Linked DNA regions of Schizosaccharomyces pombe. The gene in region 1 interacts genetically with each later gene. Each region holds a gene or a part of one and is shown in the gene's direction. Other genes may lie near its edges.

Region 1 (7,502 bases):
TTAAAAATTGTGTTGGCTGACGAAGAAAATATTTCACATGCAGCAATTTCTCCTGATGGGGAATTAATTGCAATTTCTTCCGTTTTGAGGACGAAGCTTTATCAATTACAGTATAGCGATGAAAATGTGAAAGTTGAAACAGTTGAGGACTCCTTCCTTTCAAATATTGGTGCTAGCCTGCTTAGTTTTACTGTAGATAAGAACAAGCTTATCCTTGTTAGTAACGATTCCGAGATATTTCTCATTGAATTAAGTCGACTGGATTCTCGTCAGCTAGAAGTTTTCGAGTTATCACAACCCACTAGCAAGAAAATTGCTCCTCGTCAGCGAAGCAATGTAAGCAGCATGTGTGATGGTATTTGCAGTATAGCGGTATCTTCGGATGGAGATTATTTTGCTGTTGCGGACACAGTTGGAAATATTTTCTGCTACTCCTTGTCAAATTTAACATATTCAGAGTTACCACGAGTTAACACTTATGTTCGTGCAATGGCTTTTCGTCCAGATGTACGAGGCCGTTTAGCTGTTGCTACGGCGGGAAATCAAGTTTATGAGTTTGATGTTCAATCCCGTAAATTATCTGAATGGTCAAAAAACAATTCTACAAATATGCCCAAAGAATTTTCGCAACTTCTAGATAAGGCATTCGGAGCATTTTTCGACTCTAAACATCCGAGTCGATTCTGGATTTGGTCAGCCAACTGGGTTTCATTTTTCGATCTTAATCTTCAATTACCAGCGCCTCGCGCTGCCGGAAAACGTAAAATTGAAATGAATGCAACAGTTGACGGGAATCTGAATGACAAAAAATTGGCGAATGCTAATTCGAACGGCATTTCAAATTATGGAACAGGGGATTCTAGGTGTTTCTGGATTACTCACAAATATCGACCAATGCTACTTGTAGGCTCTGTAGGAAACTCTGAATTGCTGGTAGTCGAACGACCAATCGCCGATATGTTGATGAGTAAATCAATGCCAGCAAGCTTTTATGAGCACAAATTTGGCTCGTAAATATGTATTATGTATGAAGATGGAGGAGTTTCTTCGTACTAAAAAAAACGAAGAGGTTTTAATATGTCATTTTACGTAAAAAAAATGTCTGGAATAGGGTGGTATTATTATGATTTTGTACAAAAAGGTCTTTTATTATAGGAGTTTATTTTATTTTTATTTTTTCCGATAAAAAGCATAGATTAGTTGCTAGTTAGTTTATCAATAAAACATTTCAAGGTGACACACCCATCCACAATATGATTATGGCAATGTAGCTGTGAATTTCCAAAGTCTGAGTTGTTTATTCCCATTATCGATTGGAGCATTATGCCTGTAATATGGTTTCACTTGATTCTAGGCAGATAGGCGTACAATTTTACGAACCCAAATTTTTTGATTAATAGACTTAACACGGCGAACTAAAATTTAACCGAACGCTATTTTTGTTACACCACATAATTAGAAAATTACTCGCATGAGGATAATTAAAAATACTCTGGTAAAATTAAAATTATTGTAGAAGACAGCTTGTATTTAAAGAGTAGCAATTACCATCTACAACTTATAAAGAAAACATATTCAAAGTAACAGAATCTTACAAAGGATATATATGCAAATGAAACGAAGAAAGCTCATACATGAACCCGTCTACGTTTCTAAACTTGATTACATTTGATATATTCAAAATAAAATAAAGAAGTGAAATAAGTGATTGACGTAAAAAATTATTTTCTTGCCGATGAGATTATACATTCGTTTGTTTATTGAAATTTGTTCACAACTTAGATAAATCTGTTTAGTAGTACCAGTTTTATGTACCCCCATTTAGTTACTACGATCCCACTTAAAATGTAATACAAACTGTCAGTACTAACCAGAAGAAGGACAATAGTACTAACGACTTAGACCCCCCACTTTGGTACAAAAACACCACCTGAATCAACAGCATGTAAAGTAGAAGTCATAGATTAGAAGCATGAGAACATTTCGTAGTGAAAATAAAACATTGCGTTGAGAAGCAATCTCGTTCAACTACCAAACATTTTTTTCCATTGAATAGAATAATGTTATGACCTTTAAGCCAAGCAATGCGTTTTTCAACGTTTTGGTTCTGTTATTTTCTATCCTACTTTTATCCGCACCACCAGGTGGAATTATCTGTGAAACTAGACGGCTCATAAATATCGTTATGTCACTGATTGCGAATCTATTTATCCATGCTAGTTATTCATGTTCATTCCCCACATTCTCCTCAAAAATTAATTATTTCATCGGAAATTAACTGACTTAAGTCTTGACTATTATTTACAATTTGTTTAATCCATATACTAAGTGATAAACATTTACACACAGTAATTGGGCTGCTTATTTCCTTCTGCTATGTAAAATAAAGATTGCGGTATATGCTATTGTGAAGAAAATCGATATTATTAATGTTAATCTATCTAGCTGTAGTTATAGCTGGATTGCACCAGCCATTTTGTTAATAACGTGATTTTCATAAAAAAAAAGCTGTAGATGATCGAACGGGTCAATATTTACATTCTTGAATAATTGATTTACCTCTGCTTCTTGTCCCCACTTTTTCTTACTTGCGTGCGCAATGTTAGCAGTACGTACATTTCACGATTTGGCCAATATGATTTACAGCAAGTAACTTATCAATTAACCGCTTTTGAAAATCAAAATTTTGTACTAGTTTCTTTGTTCAAGTTCTTTGATAGATGGCGTGCTATGAATGGAATAGTTTTGGGCTACGTCGTCACTTACATGATGTGCTTGACCCATTGAATTAATTGTGTGTTAGTACTTTACGCTTTCAGTACACATCGTTGGTATGGTAAATTTGTGAATCGGCCATACCAAGATGGAGATCACTTGAGGCTTAATTAATTCAAATCCGAAAATTCCGGTTGTTGTTACTAACAGTAGCTAGTTACGTTGCAGAAATTACGAGTTAGAATGGACATTGTACATTCACAATGTAAGGATACCGATTCGCGATATTGTCACTACACTATAAGATTTATCCTTATAAAGATATCGATTGCCCACCGTTTATAACCTTCCATAATTTATCTCTTTACCAGTTCCGCCTTGTTTTTTGTTACATTCTCTTTTCTTACCACACCATAATTGCTTTTGGTATACAAGCGACAACTTTATTTATTGCTTGGTACGAATCGTTCACAAATTCGATCTCTTAGTCGTATCCGTTTATCATTTTTTATAAAATAGTAGCTGACGGAACTGAATTGTTTTCTTTAAAAGAGTCTGTACCACTTACTTTTCTCCAGCTTTTGGTGTTCTTTTATAATTTCTGTCCTATCAAGGTTGCGGTAAATTAAATTGACTGCACTGTAAATGAATTCGAAAGTTTGAACAGCGTAACCAAATTTTGTTTTTCTTTTGCAATACATCGTTTGGTTTAATTGAAATTTATTTCCTTATTTTTGCTGCATATGGACATATTTTACTAAATATCTTTCTCTTCCTTTTATTTTTTTTTATTTTTTTTTTCTTTTTGGAATTAACCTTGTGTTTCTTTGTAATATTTTCATTAGTATGAATGCATTGTCTGCTTCTGAAATCCGTTAATCAAACTAAATAACTATTCACCGAACCTTTTTGGAAACATATATTTATCGCATCTAATTTCTTCCGCTTCATTTTGCATTCTTTTAATATTTATATAGCCTTTTTTCACTATATATTATTGGGTTCTTTCGTCTTGGCTTTTTACAAGTCCTTTGCAATTTACTCTTTCGATTCCTTTATATTACCCCTTCCATTATTGATATCTCTTTAGCGTCCTTGAAAACCCAGTAATTTTTCCCTTTTTTTTAATCGTCACCTCACTCTTTTTTTTTCTTCCTTTTTAAATCGTCCCTTAATTTTCCGCCGTTGTATCGCTTTCAGTTAGTTAAACACTATTCGCTTTGACCACTACCTCTTAACAAGCAATCTGAGCCTGTTTATGTCCAATTATTTTTTCTTCAGTATCATTTTTTTAATAATTCACTGAACTTTGAGCTGCAACTTCATCGACTGTGAAGAGCTTTTCTACTCTTTCCTTCTCATTATTTTCAAATACCTGTCTACCCAGTATGTTAGTTTCTTCCAATGAGGAACAACTTACTGCTCATACTCCCACTTCATCTTCAAGTATAGAACCTAAAATATTAGCTGCCTGTTCATATTCTCTATCAGTGGGCCCTTGCTCTTTAGCTGTTTCACCAAAAGGCGTTAATTCCAAATCTCCCTCTCTTAAAAATGAGACTGCATTTGTTGTCGACTCTGTTAGCACATTGTCAGCGGAATCTAGCGCCTTACTTTATAACACTCAATCCTCTTTACTCACTGGTTTATCAATGAACGGGTATTTAGGTGAGTACCAGGAAGACATTATCCATCATCTGATTACTAGAGAGAAAAATTTTTTGCTGAATGTCCATCTTTCTAATCAGCAACCGGAACTCAGATGGTCAATGCGACCTGCACTCGTTAATTTTATTGTAGAAATACATAATGGATTCGACTTGTCTATTGATACTCTTCCGCTTAGTATTTCCCTCATGGATTCATATGTCTCGAGGAGAGTGGTATACTGCAAACACATTCAGTTAGTAGCATGTGTTTGTCTTTGGATTGCCAGTAAATTTCATGAAACAGAAGACCGTGTTCCATTATTGCAAGAACTGAAGTTAGCTTGTAAAAACATCTATGCTGAGGATTTATTTATTCGTATGGAACGCCACATACTTGATACTCTTGATTGGGATATCTCAATCCCTACACCAGCTTCGTATATTCCTGTTTTAGACCCGATTTTTTTCTTAGTACTTGATGCATCAATGTTTGTACCTAATTTATTCAAATTTCCCGCTTCCAAAATCGCATGTTCAGTTATGAACATCGTAAACGAACATGTCGGATCGTTTCTTTTGACACACCCTTCTATGGAATCCTATCGCAAAGATGATAACTTTTTGTGGCCTGAAGACTTGGATACCGTAACATCATATATGGAAAACATGTCAAAGAGGTATGCTAATGAGGAATGTACTGATTTACTGTTTTCCTCACTAGGCCGTATTTCTAGTATTTTAGCAAAGAAATATCCGGAACAATGCGCAATGGCTGCCTGGTGCAACATGACTGAAAAGGATACTGAGCGTACTTTGTAACTTTAACATTGCTTCTTCTTCGATTTATATATATTGCAATGCTTCTAGACAAACATGTAATGGAGATATAATTTCAAAATTATATATTTACTTGAGAAAAGTAAGTGTATAGTGATGTAATTTTTTTTAAGAATTTTTATAAAATTCATTATATTAATCAATTAAACTACTCTGTTATGTTCTTTGTTTTCCTAAACCGGTTTGCAACTATGCTCATATGACATTATACCGTTTGTATATATTTTTGTTATTTATTTATATGATACTTACTTAGTTTGCAAAAAGAAAAGAGAAAGTTCATAAGAAACCCCATATTACAGATTGAAGCAATTTAGGTCTTTAATAGATTTAATTTCTAAATTTGATTCTTCACCCATTAAAAGTAGTATCAGTGTTTCCCAATTTTAACAATGATACTGTGATTAAACAAAATACATCTCAATTCGAATAGAGACTTCTAAATATAAGTTAAAGCACGATAGTTGTTTTCTTAAGATGCAAGCAAAATTGATTAACTTTTCTTTCAAAAGAAAAATTAACCATGCATATGATTTTTTAGAAATGAAAGAATATTTAGTGAGTTTTTTTTAATTTTCTCCACTTGTTTATACCTTGCTCAAAGGACGCACGATTAAGGCCATCAGGAACTAAACAGAATGTAACACCAAGTCTTTCAACCTCTCTGTTCCTAGACTCATCATCAAAAAACACCATTTCTCGATAGTCAATTCCAGATTCGTTGTGGATCTCTTTGAAGTGATCCATTTTACTACCTATTTCACAATAACTAGTTAGCAATATGATTATTGATATTTTCTGTATTGACAAAAATGTATTAAAAGACATACCTGGCCAAGCTTTTACATAAGTGAAAAATTCGATAGCCGGCTTAAGACTTCCATCTATTGGTACCTTCATCAAATTCAATGCTTGTTTCGCATACTTGGGAGCACAAGTACGGCTAGCAACGCACAAAGTAACTTTTTGGTTCCTTAGCTCTTGTAAAATTCCAGTTATATCTGAGTAAAAACAAATCTCTGTGCCATATTTGTCAATCAAAACGCCTGGGTCATTTTTGGAAGGCTTAAATGGTGCAGTGACTGTGAAACTTTGTTAGAAAATAAAACATAAAGTAGATCAAAGTAAAAGATTTAATACCATGGGTATCTATCCAAAGAGGCCACAGAGTGTAGTCTAAGTCAAAAACAACGCATTTTGGGAATTCGATATTTTTTACCATATTTGCTTGATATTTTATGGTATTGGTTATTAGGTTCGTAAACAACAAGAATGAAAGTCTTTTTAAGAGTGATTTCAAGTTCAAAAGATTGACCGTAACGCTTTCAAGAAGTTTACTGCCAGTTTGCTAGTTCGATAAGATTGACACAATTTTAGTTGGTACGTTGATGTAATCCAATTTTTTTTAAAGAAAAATATATATATTCAACTTTTTTTGCATTAGTAATGAAAAAAACTTAGGAAACAAATGTTTGAATTTCATTAACTTTTATGAATTATTATTATTTAATTTAACTGTCTTTGATATTCTCAATAAACAAATAAACTGATACCAAAAAACACTGTGTAAATACCATGTTTTATAAAATTGATCAAAACTGTATACTACCAAATTACAGTCAATTAATCGTTGTCATTAACATATTCATTTAAACAATAAATTTTTTTACTGCATTTAATACATTTATATTAACCTGGGGACTTGACAGAGCTTACTAGCAAATTTAATTTTGCTGATGCATACTATTTAAAATTGAAGTAGCATTGCTACTTACCACCTTCGGGTACCTGTGACCGACAGCGAAATTGATTTACCTATATGAAAATCTTAAATGTAGCAATTGTTATTATGCGAAGTTTATGTGTCCCTCTGACTTTTCTAGTCGTTCTTTGTTTTTAGAAGCCAAAGAGGAAGAGTATAAACAAAGAAGGCGTGTTCCTTTGGACAGTAGAAGAAGAGTAAGGCGGGCATGTCTGTCTTGTCGGGCCAAGAAAATTCGATGCAGTGGTTCTGAACCATGTCAGGCTTGCATTGCTACGCCTTCGCAATGTAAGTATGCTGATTCTTTAAAAGAGCGTACTCCCTCAAAACAATTTATTGCGGAACTGAGTCAAAGGCAGAAATGCTTCGAATATCTGATGGAATTGCTGTGTCCTTCTCTTCCTCATGACACACGTAGTTTAGTCAAACTATGCAAACATGTCGAATCTTCATTAGCTTCTGGAAGCGACGTTCGTTCTTTGCTAATACCCGGGTCAATTGATCAATCTGTTTTAAAGGTTGCTGCTACAAACAATAAA
Region 2 (6,988 bases), 3.3 Mb from region 1:
TTTCGATCAATTTAGTTGCTTTATCTAGACTATTACCAGCCGTTGCCTCGGAATTGCTACTCTTGTTTGATCAAGTTACTGCTAAGGCACTTTATCCCAAAATCGTTAAGCCTGCCATAAACACTGTCACCAATGCCACCAGACAGCTTGAGGGAGTTTATGAAAAAAGAGGTGCTGCAGAAAATTTTGTTTTGTTGTCTTTAATTGATTGTATCGTTGTTACACGCCAAAACATGAATAATCTTATGCCTTTTGAAGATGCTTCTTTCCTTGGTTTTGTGAATGGTGTTGGTCGTGAAATGGAAAAGATATTGATTTCTTCTATATCGAGGCTGTATAATGGCACTTGCCATAACAACAAAACAGTCCCTCTCACAACTGATAGAGTCAGTGAAATGACTCATGGTATTATGAGTTTCTTGAATGAACTTGCTGAGCATGAAAATGCCTCTTATTTGCTTGAAAGTATTGGTAATTGGGGCTGGAGACACGAAATTAATGCTGATCTCAGTCCTGCGCGCTCAGTTCAAGACATTACGAGGAACTATGTTATGGATTGTATGGATTCCTACCTAACTTCTGTTCAAACAGCTGCCCAGGCAGTGGATACGATTGGATGGAAAATGGGCGTAATGCTTTTAAACATCAGCGTCTATTTTGAAGCAAAATGTCTTGAGTCAAAAATTGCATCATTTTTACAAGACGTTGATTTAGAAAAGCTAGGAGATCGATCACAAAAGTACTCAACCATGTATATGGAAGTTTGGCGACAGTGTTCTCAAAATATGCTCGATTCTACCTATACAAAATCTCAAAACAAATCCACTATGTCTGCTAAAGAACGAGAGATTACAAAGGAAAAATTCCGAAACTTCAACGAACAAGTTACATCTGTTGTTCAAGTGCATCGTGAATCTGTTAGGTTTGAAACTGGTGTTGCCACTTTTCTATTGCAAGAAGTTAAGAAAACTGTACTACCTTTATATCAAAGGTTCTATGATAAGTATGAAGATCAATTAAAAACTGTTAGTTCCACTATAGCTAACCTCTGTTTAGATACATCAACAGTGATTTTACAAAAAATAAAGACAAGGTATGTGTATTGAGGATTTGTCGATATTCATTTGCTAGTTTATCGATGTGTATATACATTTAAGTTGTTATCGTTTTTCATTTTGCTTACTCATTACGTAGTATATCAAATTTACAAAGGCTGATTTAGATTCTTTTATTACAAGCGCGTTTGCTCCTTCCCTATGATTCAATATGATGAATTTGGGTCCTTTGAAATTCCATAATATAGTACTAAAGTGGGTGTACTGGCATTCTCACTTTTCTTTGAAGCATTTGACTGATGTAAATAAAGACGGACCATATCTCAAATTCAAAAATTTGACTTCTATTTTACATTATTAAATCGTTCCATATAATTTTTTTAATTATTAACTCCCCTTTTTTGATGACTTTGTTGTTTACCCTGCTCAGATTCTGCTTACGAGTAAGCTACCCACTAAATATTGTAATTATTAAAGAAAACTTGAAGAACTAATTTTTAATTGCATTTCCCAAGCAATCATGTTTCGATTATATACGTTCTTTACTTTATATAATGTGCCCAGCATAATTTCATAGACAATAACATTATTACCTCTTTTTTACAATAGTGAGGTAGCTCATATACATTAAATTGTGGTTCCATATCTCCGTTTTCTTATTTTTACGAAACTCGTGTTTGTTTTTGTTTAATATTTATATTATTGTTTACATTGAAAATTACCATATTATTTGATGTTTGTATTTGTTTCCCAGCTTGCCAACGTTGCGTTACCCCGACAACCCCATAGTGTTTACGCCCTCTACGATACTCCTTTCAGTCGACTCCACTACCACGAGCTGTCCTTAACCAGCATCTTGACGAGTTTTTACCCTTAAACGACATTCCTGCTCATAGAAATATAAGCAAGAACAGGACTTTTCCCCTATTAGTCACTGTCTAGAGCTAGAGGCGAGAAAAGAAGCGGAACCTGGTCGGTTAAGCAAAGCTTGTTCTTTCGTCTTGTCTTCTTGCTTGTAACAAGAGCTTAATCAGATTGTAAGTAATGTTAAAGGCTGGGAATACAGTTTTGGTTGTGTAAGAACATTTTCATACAATACGACCTTCTGAAGATGTGAAAATTTCTTCCCAATCAATAGTCACCCTTTTTCCTCGACTTCACCTAGTTCAGCGAAAACATGAAATCCTCTTTAAGTCTAACTTCATTTCTTTTTATTTTTTTATTTTTTTAAAATTTATGAAGGGATTAAGGGGTGGGTGCTGTAAAACATGGGGGTTTAAATTTAAATAACTACCCATTTTATTTTCCTATCAAAGTTTCTTTTTTTCATAGGATAATCCTTTATTGTGCCATTTTGTTTTTTCATTAGATTTACTAACGTCATTTAAAGTCAACATTTACCCTTCTTTTCTTGTTCTGGTGTTAATATAGGAAAATCGTACATCGATTCTACATATAGCTTCATTTCAAAGTTCAGTTTCGTGTTCTACGTTTCCTATATCCATTGTTGGACTTCATCGCAATCCCCTTACTTTATTGAAAAAAAGAAGTCTCAAAAGCTCTTGCCAAATTCTAGATTCGGTCAAAGGCTATTATTTTCTCCTTTATACGTACGAGAAACATACATTTTTGCTTGGATTTTATCCTTAAAATTTTTGTATAAACTTTCAAGTATAACTCATTCTATTTTATCTTCTCCGTCCCGTACTACCCCTTCACGTTTTTAGACACTTTAAAAAGGTTGTTCGTTCAAAACCTCTTTTTTATCATTTCTGTTACCTGAACCAATTAATATTTTAATTTCCCTTCCTCTCTTTCAATCCCCGACAGAATTCGTTTCTTCTTTTCCTCATGACTACCCGTCGTTTAACTCGCCAGCACCTATTGGCAAATACCTTGGGCAACAATGACGAAAATCATCCTTCAAACCATATTGCCCGTGCAAAAAGCTCTTTGCACTCTTCAGAAAATTCTTTAGTAAATGGCAAGAAAGCCACTGTGTCTTCCACCAACGTTCCTAAGAAGCGTCATGCGTTGGATGATGTTTCCAATTTTCACAACAAAGAAGGTGTTCCATTAGCTAGTAAAAACACAAATGTCAGACACACTACTGCTTCTGTCAGTACCCGTCGTGCTCTCGAGGAAAAGTCTATAATCCCTGCAACAGATGATGAACCCGCTTCCAAGAAGCGTCGCCAACCTTCTGTTTTTAATTCATCAGTCCCCTCGTTACCTCAACACTTGTCAACGAAATCACACTCTGTTTCAACCCATGGGGTTGATGCTTTCCATAAGGATCAAGCAACTATTCCAAAAAAATTAAAGAAAGATGTTGATGAACGCGTTGTTTCGAAAGATATTCCCAAACTTCACCGTGATAGTGTTGAGAGTCCCGAATCTCAAGATTGGGATGACTTGGATGCAGAAGATTGGGCTGACCCTCTTATGGTTTCTGAATATGTCGTTGATATTTTTGAATATTTGAATGAGTTGGAAATTGAAACTATGCCCTCTCCTACTTATATGGATCGTCAAAAAGAGCTTGCATGGAAGATGCGTGGAATACTTACCGATTGGTTAATTGAAGTGCATTCTCGTTTCCGACTGCTTCCTGAAACATTGTTTTTGGCCGTAAATATTATTGATAGATTTTTATCATTGCGGGTATGCTCTCTTAACAAACTACAATTGGTTGGCATTGCTGCCTTGTTCATCGCTAGCAAGTATGAGGAGGTGATGTGCCCTTCAGTCCAAAACTTTGTATATATGGCGGATGGTGGGTATGATGAAGAGGAAATTCTTCAAGCCGAGCGCTACATTTTGCGTGTCCTAGAGTTTAATCTTGCTTACCCGAATCCTATGAATTTCCTACGTCGTATCTCAAAAGCCGACTTTTACGATATTCAAACAAGAACTGTTGCAAAGTATCTTGTTGAAATTGGTCTTTTAGATCATAAACTTTTACCTTATCCCCCTTCCCAACAGTGTGCTGCCGCTATGTACCTTGCCAGGGAAATGCTTGGACGTGGACCGTGGAATCGTAATCTTGTGCATTACTCAGGTTATGAGGAGTACCAATTAATTTCCGTTGTTAAGAAGATGATTAATTATTTACAAAAGCCTGTTCAACATGAAGCTTTTTTCAAGAAGTATGCCTCCAAAAAGTTTATGAAAGCTAGTCTTTTTGTTCGTGACTGGATCAAGAAGAATTCTATCCCTCTTGGCGATGACGCTGATGAAGATTATACTTTTCACAAGCAAAAACGTATACAACATGACATGAAAGATGAAGAATGGTAATTTAGTGTATTGTGCATATCACTATCTCAACCTCTTTCAATTGTGAATATTCCAACTTGTTCAAGCGCTCTTTATATGTGTATTAGTTTATCACTAATAGCAACCGTAATGTCCTGTAAACGAGTCGCCGATAATTCCTAATGCTTTTGTTTTTGTTTTGTTCTATTATTATATGCTCGGGTACTTGAAGATTGCCAGATGCATAGTACATGCTGGTGTCATTATGAAACCAAAATCATTTGGAGAAGTGTAATTATGGATGCCTTTAAATTATCCCACCTTTAAGTCTTAGATTTGATTATCTGTCGCATATGTGTTTTGATCTATGTGGCTAGTAACGTTATAACAATTGTGTTTCTGCTAATGATGCTGCTTTAAACAACTACGAGTATTGTGCTATTATTTCTTTTTTACAATTAGGACCTTACGATAACAAAATAGTACTATATTTTCTGGATGTTGAGCTACTTGCCGATTGGGAATCCCATATCCTACACCATGAGTCGGAGTAATATTAATAATAATAATGATAATGATAGTTCCTTGAGGTGAATACTACTTTATTATGTTCATAGCTTGCAGAACGTATATTGCTCATAATAAAAATGAAAACAAATAACATCTAACTCTCGATAGACAACTTAAACCAAAACATTAAATGTGTTTCTTTAAAAATAATATCGTGATCCTTTTTTTATTAATCAATAGTAGATCGATTTACAGCCATAACAATGGATTGTGCCGTTTCGATAAAATGTTCAATGCCCATAGGGAAAAATTCCGATATCAGTGGTTTATAAGATGGAGCTTGCCATTGCTGTTTATGTTGATTATCAGCTAATAGATAATCCCATTTTGGATCCCAAAACGAGAGTCCATAACGAAGAACCGAAGTGTCAGAACCAACTTGGTAACATTGGAGACCAGGTTCGAAGTCTGTATCTATATCTTTAACTTTGCCCATATCGTGTGCTTCAAACCGAGTTATATGCAAATGAAAACCGGAAGATAAATGCCAATATTTATGCTAAAATTAGTTAACTACTTACTCAAAAATTGTAAAAACCAACAGTAATGCCTAAATGAACTTCATTTACCTTCAATTTGACAACTAGACTCCGAACTTTTATGTCTCTGGTATTCATAAAATAGATTCTTCCATCATCACTTTATGGTCAGCTTATAATTTTCTTTTAATAGTCAGCCTTACGACATAGAAATATTTGATATGAACTCTTTGTAAAAAGTTGAGTTTTGGGTTGGATGTCCATACTCAATGTAAAGGTTCCATGAAAGCGTACTGCAAGAGTGTTAGAAAAGAAATGAGTAAAAACACGTACTTCAAGTTGTAATAGGTAACGTCCAAGGCTTTGTACATAGTACTTTCAAGATACCACCCGCTAGGTTTGCCTGAATTAGTATTCCATATTGCAGTCAATGTATCTTGAACACCTTTGCAATTCATCACTTCAAAATGTACGGCTGTGATAGGATCATCTGAAAAAGACTCAAAGAGTTTTTCGCCTGTGGGACTACGGAGCTCTTTTAAAACATGGCAAACTTTTACGGAAACTTCGTCAGAGAATAAATACCTCAAAAACGTTGACCGTGTTTGGGGCTCCAAAAAACTTTGTGCAATGTTCACGGAGTTATTTTTCACCTTATTAGTACCAACTTTGAGTCGTTCAAATAGAGGTATACCAACTTTAACTCGCATAAAAACTGTACCTGAGAATAAAAAAACATTAAATAAAGATGCTGAAACGAAATTTTTTAAAAGATTGAAACTCCTTTCACGAATCCTATAGTTATGTCAATAAATATACCAGCCTTTTTAAAAAAAAACACATACAAGTTAATTTTAACACTATCGACAGGAGTCGGTATCGATTCGGGTAGGCGATGCAGATAAATAGAATTTGGCTTGTATTTCTTCGCTAATGGGAAGTTTCGATCATAAAACAGTTCATAAGAGGTTGAGTAGTCGTCAAAATTCATTAGATGCAGTATTGGCTGAGTCCTTTCTAATCTAATTAAAGAGACCTGCTCGTAAAAAATGTGTTTGACTCGCTTCAAAGCAACCTTTAAGTTTTTTACACTGTCGCATCGAACATAAAAGGCCTGAAAGAATGAAATGTAAGCATCCTGTAAAAAGAAATTACTTAAAATACATACAGCTAACTTGGGCAGATAGTGGATATAACATTGGCAATCCACACGGACTTGATTGAATAAAGTAAGATTTTCTCCACCGAAAAATTCGTAAACGTCCAAATCATCTGAAGGTAATGTGAATAAACCCTAATAATCGTCAAGTTATTATAAATGAGCTCAATATGTAAATATTACCTCTGCACGAAATGACAAAGAAGGATCCACATTGAGTAAATATTTTTTTAAAATCAAAGCATCGCGTTTCTTCTTTCTTACTAAAGCAGCTTCTTGACTTGGAAAATCTTTTCGGGGATTTCTGTACCATTTGGAAGCTGCCTTTGTCTCGCCTTCACGAGTATGGGAGTTGTAAAGTGTTTGCAGTGCCTTGGTAGCCAAGTCAAACATTTGTGGGGTTTCATAATATATGAAAATAGCCTGTAGTAATATATGCTAATTAGAAATGCAATCAATGAATGGAT
Region 3 (5,002 bases), 250 kb from region 1:
GGCTGGGTTTTCCAAAATTTGAAATCTTCGTAAGTCTTTGGGGGAGCTGCAGCTTCTTCTTTTTCTATCAAAGATCTCAACGCCAATCGGTCTAGCAGTTCACGAATTCCTCCTTCAGAAAATGAGCTGTCTTGCTGTGAATTTTTTGTATTTTTATTATTTTCGTTGTCCATCGTAAATAATCCAAAAATATTAAAAATAAAGCAAAGTTGGCCGTAAAGTCAAGTTTGGTTCTAGCTTGGATATTTCCAGATGGACTAGGTCTACTAACGACAAAACGTCGGCTGCATAATAGAAGCGTTTCTCGCCAATGAACCTTCAAAATTTAATTTTACTACTTAATAAAGAGGAATAAAATAAAAAAAATAACTATACGTGAGAAACGCTTCAGCATATTGTTGTCTCCTTAGCGAACCAAATTTGATGATAAAAAAAATTAGTTAAAGTCCTTTATTAATTTTATCTTTAAGGGGAGATGGATTACTTAATGAGTAGCAGACGTTTGCGCTTGAAGCTGCTGCATTAATAGAAAACTCAAAATACAAATCATTACATAAGATTCCATGATCGTTTAAAAAATGAACAATAGATGAAATAGTAAACCTATTTATTTTGTCTCCATATTTTTATACTCGATAAAATGTATGAGTTGAACTTGGCACTTTTTTCGAGCGTTTGTTTGTTTACATGATCTTGGTATTTGCATTATTCGCATGAAGTCGAATCTCATCCTTTAACCATTTGTAACTGGAGTGGGATCCGAAGGAAAATCAATCTTTCTCTCTTTTTTTTGGAGCTTTGCTTGTTATTTCATTAACAAGTTTATGCTAAGCTTGGCTGAGTGCTTTGAATTAGGATCAAATGGTTGAATCGTCTGATGAAAATGATCAAGCTTCTAGCTTTGCTAGCACAGAAGACCTAAAAGAACTACGGTTTGTAAGTTAATTAAATTGTTGAAATTTAAAGGTTAACATTTTAGGTATTTTGGTTTTCTGTTTTAATCCCTATTTTCTTTATTGCCTTGATCATTATAAAAAGATATCATAGTTGTACTTACCAAAAGAACAGACTGCTAAGATCCATTTTCTGCTGCATGTCTATTGATGATGAGGAAGAGTTGGAAACAGATATGTACGATCTTCCAATAGTCGAGCCTTCTATCACTTTACCAAAATATTCTGCGAGCCTTCAAGAAAATGAACGGCTAGTTGGAATTGAAGGTGAGAGAGAAGGAATTGATGTTGTCTTGAATTTTTCTAAAGCTGGCGAAGGCGGTGTAAATCCATATCCATCCTTTGATACGCCTAACGCCAGAATACTTCAGCTTCGTCAGTTGGCGAAACTTAAAAAGCATGGACCTCGCATATCTTATCATGGAATAGGTATTGGTCGATGCAATGGGAATCGTGTCTTACCGCCATATCCAGAACCTGCTTTACTTCCTGAAGCTCCCAATACTCGTGAAGCATCTAACAACACTTACTTATACGGGTTTTCTAACAACTTTATAAATATCTCTCGAACTCTTAATCTTCGTTATCCTTCTGCCTCAGCGAGCATCTCAGATTCATTACCTCCACCCTATCAAGTGTTGTCTGTTCCATCCGTTACATCTACACATGCTTTTTCTAACAATGCAAATCAAACCTGAGTATCTCCTTACTTCACCGGTTCAGGAATGCCATAGTTATTATTTATGCTAGCAGTGTTTTCTCTTCTCTGGAATTTATAGCAATTCTAATACTAATTATTGTTATACTTCTATTTCATGTTTATATAAGTATATGCTATAAGCATTTATATGGCATTAGACTGTTTAATTCTACTATGCATGATTGATATCCAAAAGCATTTTCGCGTAAACGTACCAAAATGACCTTAACCACAACACATACCCAGATACGGCTAGACTTAGAAAATCACTATTGAATTTCTTAATTCAAACAAACATCCTTATTCTAATAATCATTTAAATTATAAAATTTATGAAATGCTTACATCTAAACACGAATTTAGCTTATTCTTAAACACTCCCGCTATTAACAGCAAATCCGAGAAAGAGGTTATTTCTGAAGGGCCGTTAACAACTTCTAATGAAATAGATGTTACATTTTCTGAGTCTTTCTCTAGTCATTTAATAAATCTTAGACGCGTCCCATCCGTTAATTCGATCATTGAGCAAGAGAAGAAAGGACTCACAAAAATATCCCCTTCTATTCTGAATCAAAACATTGCTTATAAGGAAAAGCGTCAGCAACTTTTTTCTGTACTTTATGAAGTGCGTCAGCATTGCTATTTTTCGAGATTCTAACGAAACAGGAAACTGTCGGCTACGTATCTATGGACACGTTGTGCATTGCAATTTCTCTGTTGGATCGTTGTTTCACCGTTAAACCAACTATTCCAACTACCAGTTTTAAAATTTATGCTATCGGCTGTCTGTTCATTGCATTTAAACTTACAAGTGACTACTCAGTTGGTATGTTCGCGATAAAAACTGTTATTAATTTCTTTTGTAGCGAAGAAGTCTTTTTGCGAGAATTTGGCTCCAAGTTTGTCTACAAAAAACTTAGAGGTTTGTAGTGATTTACAGCTCGTTGAAACATGTTTCTTTAACAAATTAATAGAAATACGAGAAAATTGTTCTTGCTTTATTAAACTTCGATATATATGTCATTTCTCTTCCTTCTGTTGAGTCTTTTTTAACACCGTTGATCTTCCAACATGTATTCTTTAAATCCTTGCCTTCTGAAAGCTGTGATCAAATGATGGTTGAATGGCAGTATTTACTGGTTGAGGTAATGAAGGGTTAGTAGATTGATAATATATTAATGGATAGCACGCTAATCTGAACAGATTGTCAATTTATCGAATATAGGCCGACGGAAATTTTATGCGCTTCGTTCTGGGTCTTGCTTGAAATTATTTGGCCTTCTGCGTTTGATTTCAAACCTTTTCAACATTTGTGTTCTTTGCCCACAAATGGTTCTGCAGATGAAACTTATATTAAACACTCAAATCGGTTTCACGATTTGATTATATCTATCCAGCGTATAGCGGATATGTTAGCATAAAGCTTCAAACCCATCTATTAACCCAAATTCTAATGAACTTAATTATTAAAACTAAGCTATTTAATCAAAACTCTAAACCCTTTTTAATAACGCCCATAAACCTAATTAACTAAAACAATAATAAATTACCAATGAATAGCCAACATTTTCTTTATTTCCTCTTAGTAGATTTATGACAGCCCAACAATTTCTCCATTTTCACATATATCAATGTTTAAATAGGCAGGCGCAGTCGGTAAACCAGGAATTGTTTGGATTTCAGCAGCTAGCGGATAAATGAAGCCAGCGCCAGCATTCAAACGCATATCTCTAATAGGAACTGTAAAATTTTTTGGAACATTGCGAAATTCGGGATTATGCGAAAGAGAATATTGGGTTTTCGCCATGCAAATTGGTAAGTTACCGAACCCTTGTTTGATAAACGTATTTATTCGTTCCTTAGCTAGAGAACTAAATTCAACACCGTTTGCTCCATACATTTCTTTTGCAATCACATTTACTTTATCTTCAATTGAAGTCTCGCTATCATACAAAAGCCTAAACTTCGAATTGGATGACTGATCACAAGCCGTCATTACGGACTTGGCCAATTCAATAGCTCCTTTGCCGCCTTGGGCCCAATGATCCGAAGGTACAGCATCCACAGCTCCAGCTTGTAGCGCTGCCTCGCGTATTATTTCATGCTCCTTAGAACTATCAGTCTTATAACTGTTGATGGCGACAACAACAGGAATATTGAATTTATGACAATTTTGAATGTGTTTTACCATGTTGGAACATCCATTCTTTACAAGGTCTAGATTTTCAACAAGATATTCCTCAGGAATTGGGGCACCAGGTTTTAACTTGGGACCGCCTCCATGTAACTTAAGCGCTTTAACAGTGGTAACCAAAACAACGGTGTTAGGTACAAGTTTTGAGTATCTACATTTGATGTTAAAGAATTTTTCCATTCCCATGTCAGACGCAAATCCTGCTTCGGTAACGACATAGCCGGCATCTTCGGGTCTGTCAAAGCTTTCTGTACCAGCCAATTTTAAAGCAATTTTATCAGCGATAATAGAAGACGCGCCAATGCTAATGTTTGCAAAAGGTCCTGCGTGAACAAACGCTGGTGTTCCTTCCAAAGTTTGCATCAAGTTAGGTTTGATAGCGTCTTTAAGCAAAACGGTCAATGCTCCAGAAACTCCAAGGTCGCCAGCAGTAATAGCATTTCCGTATTTGTCGTTGGCTATAACCATACGGGATAAACGAGAATGCATGTCGTTTAAATCACATGAAAGAGCCAGAATTGACATGCATTCACTGGCCACAGAGATATCGAAAGAAGTTTTACGGACATGTCCCTTTTCAGTTGATGCTTTTCCAACCTCAATAGAACGGAGGAATCGATCATTGACGTCCAATACTCTGTTGCATTCGATGGTGTCAGGATCTACGTTTAGCCGCACAAACTCTTTCAGTAATTCCGGTGATGCGTTATTAACATCTTCTGGATCCATGTTATGAGATGCGCAAATACGATTCCACCTACCGATCAATCCTCGTGGAATGACTCTTCGCCCGTTTTTAACAGGGATCAAACGTTTTATAAGGGCAGCATCAGATTGTGTGTTTTCATGAAACATCCTAGTTTCAAGAGCCGCGACTAAAAGATTATTTGCTGCGGTAACAGCGTGTATATCTCCAGTCATATGAAGGTTAAAGTCATCCATAGGAATAAATTGTGCGTAGCCTCCACCAGCGGCGCCTCCTTTAACACCAAATGTCGGCCCTTGGGACGGCTGACGGACACAAGCAATTCCAAGCTTACCCAAATGGCCCATAGCTTGAACCAAACCAGCAACAACTGTACTTTTACCTTCGCCAAAAGGTGTAGGAGTAATACCACTTACAACAACATAGTTCCCATCTTTTCGGTGCTTTAA

Evidence for each region. Genes that interact genetically often act in the same process or in processes that back each other up.
Region 2: of puc1 (region 1) and cdc13, extra expression of one is lethal in a mutant of the other (dosage lethality), as found in Schizosaccharomyces pombe (one study listed by BioGRID).
Region 3: of puc1 (region 1) and crs1, changing one enhances a phenotype caused by changing the other (phenotypic enhancement), as found in Schizosaccharomyces pombe (one study listed by BioGRID).

The regions. Positions count from the first base shown.
Region 1 is NC_003423.3:3,697,254-3,704,755, reverse strand, and holds puc1 (G1 cyclin Puc1), read left to right. Parts: upstream 1-3,066; 5' UTR 3,067-4,103; coding exon 4,104-5,183; 3' UTR 5,184-5,558; downstream 5,559-7,502. Other genes in the region: U3 snoRNP protein Utp4, read left to right, coding at 1-1,014; SPOM_SPBP8B7.31 (acid phosphatase), read right to left, coding at 5,719-5,783, 5,837-5,956, 6,032-6,283, 6,342-6,423; DNA-binding transcription factor Thi5, read left to right, coding at 7,062-7,502.
Region 2 is NC_003423.3:418,217-425,204, forward strand, and holds cdc13 (G2/M B-type cyclin Cdc13), read left to right. Parts: upstream 1-1,894; 5' UTR 1,895-2,092; exon of another isoform or gene 2,093-2,219; intron 2,220-2,445; 5' UTR 2,446-2,906; coding exon 2,907-4,355; 3' UTR 4,356-5,052; downstream 5,053-6,988. Other genes in the region: exocyst complex subunit Exo70, read left to right, coding at 1-1,003, 1,057-1,093, 1,195-1,260; protein dsh1, read right to left, coding at 5,053-5,382, 5,453-5,522, 5,566-5,655, 5,696-6,157, 6,208-6,476, 6,531-6,656, 6,705-6,944.
Region 3 is NC_003423.3:3,450,395-3,455,396, reverse strand, and holds crs1 (cyclin Crs1), read left to right. Parts: upstream 1-1,880; 5' UTR 1,881-1,990; coding exon 1,991-2,278; intron 2,279-2,319; coding exon 2,320-2,479; intron 2,480-2,519; coding exon 2,520-2,575; intron 2,576-2,627; coding exon 2,628-2,808; exon of another isoform or gene 2,809-2,856; coding exon 2,857-3,074; downstream 3,075-5,002. Other genes in the region: myr1 (N-myristoyltransferase 1), read right to left, coding at 1-173; protein mug110, read left to right, coding at 862-936, 980-1,651; ade9 (trifunctional formate-tetrahydrofolate ligase/methenyltetrahydrofolate cyclohydrolase/methylenetetrahydrofolate dehydrogenase), read right to left, coding at 3,245-5,002. UniProt on the Schizosaccharomyces pombe protein: Has a role in meiotic chromosome segregation.